Linked DNA regions of Arabidopsis thaliana. The protein of the gene in region 1 interacts with the protein of each later gene in a pairwise test. Each region holds a gene or a part of one and is shown on either strand. Other genes may lie near its edges.

Evidence for each region. Proteins that work in one complex are often made in the same cells at the same time.
Region 2: the proteins of PIP2A (region 1) and PLDDELTA come close enough for resonance energy transfer, tested with the Arabidopsis thaliana proteins (one study listed by BioGRID).

Annotation. Positions count from the first base shown.
Region 1 is NC_003074.8:19,802,957-19,807,391, reverse strand, and holds PIP2A (plasma membrane intrinsic protein 2A), read left to right. Parts: upstream 1-1,661; 5' UTR 1,662-1,937; coding exon 1,938-2,244; intron 2,245-2,712; coding exon 2,713-3,008; intron 3,009-3,135; coding exon 3,136-3,276; intron 3,277-3,366; coding exon 3,367-3,486; 3' UTR 3,487-3,919; downstream 3,920-4,435. UniProt on the Arabidopsis thaliana protein: Water channel required to facilitate the transport of water across cell membrane. Probably involved in root water uptake. Its function is impaired by Hg(2+).
Region 2 is NC_003075.7:16,954,966-16,962,114, forward strand, and holds PLDDELTA (phospholipase D delta), read right to left. Parts: upstream 5,206-7,149; 5' UTR 4,911-5,205; coding exon 3,969-4,910; intron 3,809-3,968; coding exon 3,659-3,808; intron 3,382-3,658; coding exon 3,187-3,381; intron 3,097-3,186; coding exon 2,791-3,096; intron 2,702-2,790; coding exon 2,633-2,701; intron 2,492-2,632; coding exon 2,344-2,491; intron 2,136-2,343; coding exon 1,987-2,135; intron 1,872-1,986; coding exon 1,722-1,871; coding exon of another isoform or gene 1,716-1,721; exon of another isoform or gene 1,583-1,715; coding exon 1,382-1,582; intron 1,106-1,381; coding exon 809-1,105; 3' UTR 553-808; downstream 1-552. Other genes in the region: AT4G35785 (RNA-binding (RRM/RBD/RNP motifs) family protein), read right to left, coding at 63-85, 160-162; NRPB1 (RNA polymerase II large subunit), read right to left, coding at 6,150-6,318, 6,425-6,496, 6,610-7,149. UniProt on the Arabidopsis thaliana protein: Hydrolyzes glycerol-phospholipids at the terminal phosphodiesteric bond to generate phosphatidic acids (PA).

The sequences.
Region 1 (4,435 bases):
GTCACAATTTGTCATTTTTATTGGGATTTATTGTTTTGTTATATTTTCGTTTTCAGTCTAATTGTCAGCAATTTTCGCAAAAGATATGAAATTTTGGATATGAAGAGAAAATGCAAATGATTGGTGGGGACAACAAACGTGGCATTATGTGAGTGGTTGAGCGAACAAACGGCTATATGCTGAGATGGATTGGACGGTGACGATACGTTTGTCGGAGGGATCGGGTCGGTTAGTCACGCGCGCCACCCATTCACGTGTCACCTTTTGCCAACACAGACCATATGATTTTAACCTCAGTGGAATCTCGACCCACCCCACAAAACGGCACCATAACTTTACACCCTGGTTTTAGAGAGTGATATACCAACACAACAATTATGAAAAAGGGTTCGTTTAGGCTTTGGTTACTTTATGTTAGTAATATCAACTTAAATGCTAATTTGAGTTATGTGTGATAAGATATACGACGAATCAATTTACTTATCGTCAATTAAGTTTGAAATGAAAGTTTGTGAACGAAATAGTTTATGCTTCTTTAATATTGTGTCATAATTTTGAGTTCCGGCTCTAACATCTTCAAGTAGGGTTTTGTTTTATGACACCTCAAACATACTTAATAACATATGTTGGTGATAGAAAACTAGACCTTCTAGACTACAAAAATGTTTATAATGTAAGAGAATGACCATATATCTATCTATTTTGAAAACAAAGTGTTTTGACTTTGGTGAACAAGAAAAATGTTCTCTATATATACAATGAGACACTCGAATATAACCATGCATGATTAGTTGGATTTGGAGTGAAGAAACTTAGCCATGCTTCGTTGGAGCAAAATAAGGTTTTGGAGTTTTGTTATGTGTTTTCAAGAATGTAAATGCTGATTCGATAAAAAAAAAAAGTGGACGTAAGTTATTTTAAAATGATTTGGCATACAAAAACTGTGGCTTTTTAAATCTGAAAAATCGACAGGCTATGATATTATACGACAAAAAGAAGAGAGCACCATATTGATGATATAGTATATTGGGTCGGTCCTAAAGAAAATGACATTTAGGTGATGGGGGCGGCGAGGCTAAGTTAAAGTAAACAAAAAAAACCTCCATTATTTACCAGAAAAACATATAAAAATTTGATTGACATAAAAACTAATAAATTATTTCAAAGTTGTGGTTCTGATAGCTCTCCACCATCACCACTGATTGATACTTCCTATTGCTACGAGAGATAAAACTATGCAAGTTTATATGAGTGGATATAAAGTCTTGTTTTATGATATCATAAGCTAGCTAATCCCATATCATTATCATGTATTTATAGACGCATGTTCAATAGATTTGGATCAATCTTTTTGTCATGGACTTGGTGCAAACTATAACGTTAAATAGAATAAACTATTCTAATTTAGGATCTAAAATAAACTCGAATCAAATTTTAAAGAAATTTACTGGCTAACTTATTTGAATTTTTCAAATTTCAACGATTGAAAAACTCTAAGTCTGAAATTAAACTAGGGTTCTTGTCTTTACGTATTAGTAACTATGTATGATATTGATATATCAAGCAATCATTAAATAGAATTGGTTCAAAATTTATTTCAGGACAGCTAGTTCATAATCATTTTGTCAAAGCTACTTCCCTCATAATAATAATAATCATAACTCACTCGTATACTTTTATATCCAATTTTTTCATTGAAAATACAAACTTTCATTCCAAAAAAAAACCTCAATACACAAAAAACCAAAAAAACATATAACGTTGGCAAAAATACTAAAAATATTTTTTAAAAGATAAAGCAATAAAAAAGTATACAAACAAATTAACAAGAAGGAGAGCTCTCACTATAAAACAGAGCACATGTTCTTCTCACTAACCACTCCAACAGAGAAGCAAAAGAAAAAAAAGCTATTGTTTGAAAGAAGAAGAAGTTAACTATGGCAAAGGATGTGGAAGCCGTTCCCGGAGAAGGATTTCAGACAAGAGACTATCAAGATCCGCCACCAGCTCCGTTTATTGATGGAGCGGAGCTAAAGAAGTGGTCTTTCTACAGAGCAGTTATCGCAGAGTTCGTAGCCACTCTCCTCTTCTTATACATCACCGTTTTGACAGTCATCGGTTACAAGATTCAGTCCGATACTGATGCCGGTGGCGTAGATTGCGGCGGAGTTGGAATCCTCGGTATCGCTTGGGCCTTTGGTGGTATGATCTTCATCCTCGTCTACTGCACCGCCGGTATCTCTGGTATGATCCTTCTTTAATCTTGATTTTGGTTTGGTTTAGATTAAGATTATACACTTTTTGAGTATTAGAATTACAATTAAACCGAATAAGCTGAATAAGTTTTACTTATGTAAGTACAACTTGCAAACTCAAAATTTAGACAAGTAAAAATTATATGGTATGGTTTTGGTTTGTTTATTCGAAATTAATTATTTTGCAAGGAAAAATATTGCTTGGTTGACATTACTATTTAATCGGTTTAAAATCTTAGGTTTAAAAGACGAAAATGATTTGTTTATAAAACATTTAATAAGGGTCATGATCAAATCGGTTCTTATCCGAATGATATATATCTAATCTAAGCCTAGTAATTATTTTAAGCAACTGACTAACCCTGTCTTAACCAGAATTGAAACCGGTTAATTAATTGCTTGTTGTACCTTAATTCTCAAGTACTGGTAACATTGTCAACTCTTTTTGTTTCCTTAGGTGGTCACATTAACCCAGCGGTGACATTTGGGCTATTCTTGGCACGTAAAGTGTCGTTACCTAGGGCCCTATTGTACATAATCGCTCAGTGTTTGGGTGCGATTTGTGGAGTTGGTTTTGTCAAAGCCTTCCAAAGCTCTTACTACACCCGTTACGGAGGTGGAGCCAACTCTCTAGCCGATGGCTACAGCACAGGGACCGGTCTAGCCGCAGAGATCATTGGTACTTTCGTTCTTGTCTACACCGTCTTCTCTGCCACTGACCCCAAACGTAGTGCCAGAGACTCCCACGTTCCGGTGAGTCACATATGTAGTGCTATTAATCTTCAATATGGTTAACCGACTCAAAACCGGAACCAAAGCAAACCAAACCAACATTTGATTTCAATCATACTAATAAATTTGAATTTTGATGAAATAAAAGGTGTTGGCGCCACTTCCAATCGGATTTGCCGTGTTCATGGTACATTTGGCTACCATTCCCATTACCGGAACCGGAATTAACCCGGCAAGGAGTTTCGGAGCTGCCGTAATCTACAACAAGAGCAAGCCATGGGATGACCACGTAAGACCTCAACGTTTCTCCATTACATTCAACTATATTTTTCATTTTTACAAGGGAATAATGTTTTGAAATTTTGGTGATTACAAACAGTGGATATTTTGGGTTGGACCATTCATTGGAGCTGCGATAGCTGCATTCTACCACCAATTCGTTCTGAGAGCTTCAGGTTCTAAGTCTCTTGGATCATTCAGAAGTGCTGCCAACGTCTAAACACATCAAACCAGATTTCTCAAGAATAAATGAAGTTGTGATCTCTCTGTACAAATCTAAATCAGTCACTTGCAGTTTTCATTTCCCTTTCTTATATTTGTGTTTTCCACTTGCTCTTTTGTGAATTTTCCTTCGGTGTAATTGTTTTTTCTTTCGCTTTTAAACGAGTGATTGGAATTATAATCAATGAAATCAAAGAGGTTCTTATGCGTTGTGTTTACATTAATACTAGTACTAAAGTTAGTTTCCTTAGAGAATAACAACACCATGGGGCCATGTTCTTGGTCTTGTTTACGTCCTCCTCAAGATGCTCAGTGAATAAGCAGGATTTTGGAGAAACACATGTCTCTGCTTTAACGCAATCATTATCTTTCTAGAAAAGACCATTCCTTTATGTCTTCATACATCTCAGGCGGATAAAGCCTAGCGTGCACCAGCAGTAAGTTTTAGTTACTCTCTGAAACCGCCATTGTCCATTAACCCCATATGCCTCAAAGGCTCACAGAAACTGTTACATTCAAGATTCAACATACTTAGTCGTTTGTTACTTGACAATTATGAATCATATAGGAAATGCTCGAACTTGGCTGAGGATTGAGAGTCTTACCCTTCAGAATCTGCATTTTTTATGAGAACGTGAAGAGGTGTGGCCGCTCAAAATTGGCCTCTTGGTGGCCTAGCCTCAGCCTCTGAGACTGCCTACCATCCAAATCCTTTAATTACGAAAGTAAAACATGTGTTAGATGTTTGATCATTTACTGTAAGAAGTACTAATCGAATAAATTGTTATGCGAAGAAGAGAAATGATGATACTACTGCACCATTCAAAGAATTGATGGAGTTTTGAACCTCTCGGGAAGAGCTGAGTGTCACAAACCCAGTAGATCAGATTTGATATCGAGAAAGTTTCTAAAGGGACCTCATACAGTAGTAAGAAAATGACGAATGT
Region 2 (7,149 bases), on another chromosome or scaffold:
AGAGAACGATTTAGGAACAATAACAGCTCCGAAATGCGAAGCAATAGAAACTTGAATCTAACCTTCTTCTTTGAGGAGAATCCGCCTGCAAAACGAAGTAATTACCTCAAATTTCTCGAAGATCAAGAAGAACACAGAGACTTAGTCGTGGAAGCTTACCATTGCCGAAGAAACAGAGGTCGCGATCGAGACGGAGAGAATTAGGGTTTTAGTGAGAGCAATAAAGCGTAAAATCAGTCTTTCTTTTCCCCCTTGTCTACAGATGAATTATTCAATAAAATTTTATACTATTACAAGAGTCAATAATTGCATGTAGCAAGACTCACGTTTCTTATGGTGTCTGCAACAACAAAAGAAAATAACAATAATCGTAATCAGTCCCGGATTGATATTTCCGGTCTGCGGTCTGGTTCGGTTTAATACCGCTAATTAAATATTTTGATCTGTCTAAGTGTCCATGAATCTTCGGTTTGGTTCGGGTAAACAGAACCGATAGGCACATCTAATCTTAACATTAAAAGTCGAAGCAGAAATTTTGTTTTGAACGCAGTTACACAGCATCATTATCCGATTTTGAAAAAGAAAACCGAGAAAAATAGAATATCCTCAAATTATTTTGCCTCTTCACTCACTCACGATCTCTACATTTTGCACCCCAACAAATATTTGACGACAATCACAAAAGAATGTATAAAAAAGAAACAACACAGTTAAATGTACAACAACTCAAACAACACTTTCAGCTAATATTATTCAGGATCAAAAGAAACCCCAAAACAAATGCTGAAATTTACATTGAACATTCACATTACGTGGTTAAAGTGTCAGGAAGAGCCATGGAATGAGCTCCAATGATCTTACCACCAACATCTGGGAAGGTCTCGTAATCAGGAAGAGGGCTTACTTTACCATCAACGTCTACTTGTAGAGGATACTTTATTAAGTGACCTTGTAGCTCTGAGAATTTCGGGTCTATGAATCTTTTCCAGTTTTCTTCAGAGATTGTGTTCACCTTCTTCAGACATTCCAGATCTGATGGCTCCACAAACTCATCTCCAGTTTTGCCTAAATGCTCTGCCCATAGTGACATTCTGTATCCATACACCTGTGTAGATAGATAGAGATATCATCAAGCTCTTTATGTCTTACGAAGACTCAATATATATAATGGTTCAAGAATCTGGGAGTAGAAACACAAGTTCTCTCAAGTATCTAAGAACGTGATTTTTTTCGCAAGATCGAATGCTATCCCAAATTTCTTTACTGTTTTTAAATCCAGGATTCAGGAATTTGAAACTTTCCCCATGTAGATATAGAGACACTTTTGAGGTTTGGTTATGATATAGATGATGATGATGAAGATGTTAGGAGGAAGGCAAACCTGGCCACGTGGGTGTCTTCCCTTGTGAGCCCATGTATGATTAGGTTGGTATGCGCCCATGGCGATTTCAGTATCTTTGGTGCCTGCCATAGATCTTTGGTTGATATTAGCAGATCCCATGAGTACATACTCATCATCTACTATCATCCCTTTTGCGTGCACGTAAATCATGAAACGCTGGAAATTATAAGAATCTGATACCTGAAAAATGCAGTTAAAATGATCATAAAGAAATTGTTCCACTGATTACTACAGGAAACTTTATGTATGATTTATCTATCTGTAAGCTACAGTTTTTGTGAATGAAACATTCTTAGTCTTAGAAGTTTGAAGATTATACCACACTGCCATTGGTGGCTGGCATATCATCTGGAAGCTGCTCTCGTTTACCAAGGCAGTAAAAGTTAAGGTAATCGAGAGGATGAGCATCTGATTGCACCGCTTTCAGTTCTTTTGCTATAACATCATACATCATCTGCATAGTTTGGCTCTACGAAATGAAAAGAACAGAAGATGTTTAGCAGAATGTAAGTTTCTCTTTTAAAGAAATGGAACAACCTATTTTGGTATTGGCACTTATCTTACACTCAGCTAAACAAAGTTACCTGCCAATATAGAATTTCTTGCACAGGGCCAGACTTTGGGTCGCCTTCAGGCCACAATGGTATGACAACATATACGGCAAATCTTTCCTTAGCTCTGATTTTGCTAACAATCTTTAGTGCCAACTCCATAGGAATAAGATTGTCAGCTCCTGCTCATACAAGACGAACACAGAATCAGAAAATCCGCGGGTGAAAAAGTTACTAAGCTTTATTTAATACAGTTCAGGTAACTGTGAGGTGAAAATAGAGCCACAAATACAAAACTAGTAACTGAGAACAATTCTAGACTTCATGCTGTCTGCAATGTGAGTATTTTATTTCCTAGTCTAAGAACTGTACTCAAAGATCAAAATGCACCTGCGTCTCTATAAGAAGGCCAAGCATAAGAAGAACCCAGGAAATACTGATTCTCGATATATATGAAATGCTGAGCAGATCTGATTGTCTGGATGTATGCAGTCTGGATGCTTTTATCTACAACAAGACGCTTGGCACATTCCAGATGCTGCAGTTAAATTATATTGAAGACTTTGTAAGTAGTGCAATTTCTATACCATGTGGTGGCTTATAAAGAGAAATTTCATTGAATAAACGGTGATTCTTCAAGGAAGATAATTAATAATAGCAAATAAGTTGATTGACCAACCTGGGCCTCAGCCTCATCTTCATATTTTGGAAATCCTTTCACGGATCCTGAGTCGATAGAACGGAATATCTAGAAGTCAAAGAAACCGCGTGGTTAGATCAAATCAACAACATTTGTTAACATGAAATAAGTATAGTTTGGAAGGAATCAACAAGGACCTGAACATGCCAGTTCTCTGGATCATCTTCTTTAGAAACCCAAACACATGGATCGTCCTCTGGAATTATCGAAGTACCATCCTTCAGAAATTTAAACACTGGACTCAGAATCCATGATATACGCCCTATCCGGATCAAAGCATCATCTTGCCAGTGAGTTTTCCCCTTTAAACGTAAGCTAAACTCCTTCCATCGTGTTGCCTTTCTCCATCGCTGCTCAAAGTTTATGAGAACATCATATGCCGCAGGCCCATCTATCCTACAGTGCAAATCGTGCCAAGGTTGTCTTGGGGCCTTGGTACCAGCCTGAGGAAGTAAAAACAGAGTATGTATCAGTAATAACTAAAGAATTAGGATTCAAGCTTGATAACAGCCGGTATATAATAATAAACTTACTGGAAATGTAGGATTGTGGAAATCATCCTTAAATACAGTGTCAAGATCGTGGAGTATCCTATGCTCAGGTGTGTCATAACGGCCATCACAAAGATCTAGACCTCCAATAAAAGCGGTGACCTTGCGATTATTACCAACAGCCTGAGTGTCTACAAGAACACACTTTTGATGGTGCGTGAAGAGAGTTCCAACAACCTGGCCATTAAACATCAGATATCAAAAAAGATATCCCTTGGAAAGATAATAACTATGCCAAAGCCGAAATTGACATAACATTTTGATACCCACATGTTGAAAGAGCCTTTAACTAAACAATCGAGAAACAATGGTGCGACATGGATTAGAGTCAGAACATCTCTTATAATTGAAAGTAAGCATCCACATTAACTAATTTCCAACTTTGCAATAACCCTCATCATGCGGGACTAAACCCCCTTAGCTAAAACATATCAACATCATACCAAACAAAAACTGTCATGATATATATAGAAGAGCTAGGACTTGCCTGTTGTTTGAACAACCCAAGCTTACTGCTGGCATACCGGGGTGACAAAACGCATATCACAGAAGAATGCTTGAAGAACTTCCTAGTCTCCTCATCATGTGTCCCCATAACTCCAGGCTGCAAAATAAATGTCACACAACATCTTAATGTCAAAAACACCAAATAACCTGTCAAAACATAAATTATCCTCACCAGAAACTCCAATTAACATTACAACTAGTAATCCAAAAGCTCAAAAATAGCAATACGAATCCAAAGAACTTGTGAAAACACTAACCGTTTTTATCCCAAACTTATCATGAGAAGTCTTATCATCCCATACAAGTAGCAAAACTCGAACACCTTCCTGGGATTTGTATTTGAGCAATTCCCCAAGCGTCATATCCTTATCTCTTGGAACTTTTGTTTCCCTAACAAGCTTAATCTTATGGAAGATAGACCAACCAACAATGTAAATCATATGGTGAGCCTCAGATATAGCATAACATATATCTTCCCAACACTTCCCATGCTCATAAACTTTCCCGTTATCTAACCCAATCGCCGGCAACGTTCCGTCCATAACATGAGCGTCCTGGTAAAGCCTCACCTGACTTCCTTTCCTCACAGGGAAATAAGTCCGTCTAACACCCCTACGCTCCGGATCTCCGGCGATTCCACATCGGTAGCTATGGATCTGGTCAAACGGAGTAAATTTCATATCGATGAAAATAGCAGTTTCTGCCTTAGGCGGTTTTCCCGAAGCACCGAGTACAGGAAACCAACCAGAAATGCGTTCTCCCGATGCGATGTCTCGAACCGGGATCTTAGCCGTGCCAATGATTTGAGCACCGAAAACATCGTCGTCTTTGACCTGGAACTCGAGATAAGCAAACGGATGCGCTATAGAAATGTTGAATTTCTCGTCCCAAAGAGGCTCTTGTGAGTTTTTCAAAACACGTGTTCGAGCTAGAGTCGCTTGAGGAACGACGACGGTGACGTAAGGATCGCTGGTGATAACCTTACGGTGGCTACGGATGTTTTTATCACCGAATTCGCCTTTATCTCTGGGATCGACATCATCGGTATCGGTGGGTCTAGCACAGGCGTTACAGGCGGTGAAGAGACGGCGCAAATGTTCTGAGAACATATCCATGTTAGGTAACCTCCTAGCCTTAACAATTTTCAAATCGAGGTCACCGTGTAGAAGCATAACGTCCTCCGATACTTTCTCCGCCATGGTTACAACAATTCAGGTGGAAGGAAACGAAGAAGAAGAAGAAGAAAAGCTAACAAAAACCGAAAACCCTAACGAACAGGGCTCGGTTGTTGTTGCTGCTGCAGAAACCAAAGATGAATTTGAAAAGTTTTTTTTTTTTTTTTCTTTAGAAAACGAAAGATATTTATTATTTTTAGGTGAAATGATTTGAGAGAGAAAGACAAGCAAGGAAGGAGAAGAGAGGACAGGTGGAGGGACGACGTGATGGGAGTTGTTTGCTCACTGACGACATTATTCCGTGTAGATCTCAGAGGAGTCGTTGCACACGTTCTTCATCTAGCTTCTTTAATCACTGAACTTTACTTAATTAGTTTACAAAATCTACTGATGACGAATTTGATTTTAGAACGTTGTACCAATAGCTTTGTAGACGTAAAGAAATAAAAAGCTAATACAATAATGCTAAAGTTGACAATGATGATGTGAAGAGTTCTTCTCTTTTTCTGGACAAATAATTAAGAAGACAAGTCAAAAACCAGCTATGCGAATCTGGTGATATTAACCCACCACATCCATTGGATAGTTTTCCAACATTTGCTTCATTTATTATATACAAAATAAAATTTGGAAAAATGATTAATTATCACATAAATAAAAATCCCAAAAACCATTCTTTAATGGTGTGGATAAAACAAGAAATAAACCCATATTGGAAAGTCGAGCTGTTTAAACTTTTAAAGTGGTCACACGTCAATCGATAATTGTCGGAAACAAGGAAAAAAGGCATTCTCGATTCGTATCTACTCAATGAAGCAACAGCAGTAACATAAAGAATCCTTTCATGGATTACAAATGAACCGTTTCACATGTTTACTTTCTGAAATAGAACAACACAGCAAAAAGCCAAAAACTAAACCATACGAAAAGCCCAAAGTCTGATATGTTTTCGTTTTTCTATGTTTATACTATTTTCTTTTTGGGGGATGAGGATTGGATGGATTTATGGATCAGTTTGGAATAATATACAACTCACGAAAAAAGGATCTATTAAGAAAACCTTGTTCACAAAGTTATCCACAGAAGATCACTTTGAAACGGTCCCTTCCTTTTCTCAGCTTTCACTGTCTCTTAAATCATGACCTGCGGGTTACACGATATCCCAAGTGGCTAAGTTCGTGAGCTAGTAAGACTTGTAAACCCCAATGGTTCCAAGAGATTTAGACGTTACCTAAAACATGGATTGCCAATTCTCACTCTCTTTCAAGGGTTGCCTTTATCATCCTTACTGGCATCTTTTTTTCCAGTCTTGTCCTTTTTATCGCCCTCATGTGGGGTATACTGACCCGTTGATGACGGTGAATAACCGGGAAGTGTTGGCGAGTAGCCTGCGCTTGGGCTGTAGTCTGGGCTTGCTCCTGAGCTGTATGGGCTGAGACAGATTTAATAACAACAACCCAGTTAAACTTTTTGCGGAATTCAATTGAGATGGATGCATTACAACAGATCCAAGATTTTCAAGCGGGTAAAAGTCAAACCTGCTGGGACTGTATGTTGGACTTGAAGGTGAATAAGATGGAGATGTGGGTGAGTATGATGGAGATGTCGGGCTGCAGAGTAAATTTTTAATAAGAGTTAACGATTAGAGAAGATGACACAATATCACCACAACAGATAAGAGAAGCTTCATAGAAAGTGTAAAAATTAAGATATTACTACTTACCTGTAGTTGGGAGATGTAGGACTGTAGGGGCTAGCTGGTGATAGTCTTGCATTGCTAGGAGAGTAAGCTATAGATGGGCTATATTTAGCAGACTGAGGGTTGTAGCTTGGAGACGTAGGACCGTAGCTTGGTGATGTTGGACTGTAACTTGGTGAAGTAGGGCTGTAGCCAGGAGATGTGGGGCTATATGCGGGTGAAGTAGGGCTGTAAGACGGAGATGTTGGGCTGTAAGATGGTGAAGTAGGGCTGTAAGAAGGCGATGTTGGGCTGTAAGAAGGTGAAGTTGGGCTGTAAGAAGGAGAGGTTGGGCTGTATGCTGGTGAAGTTGGGCTGTAAGCAGGTGAAGTCGGGCTGTAAGCAGGCGAAGTCGGGCTGTAACTTGGGGAAGTAGGACTGTAGCTCGGAGATGTCGGGCTGTAGCTTGGCGACGTTGGGCTATAGCTTGGAGACGTTGGGCTGTAGCTCGGAGAGGTAGGAGAATAGGAAGGACTTGTAGGAGAATAAGCAGGGCTTGTTGGGCTATAGCCAGGAGAACTGGGA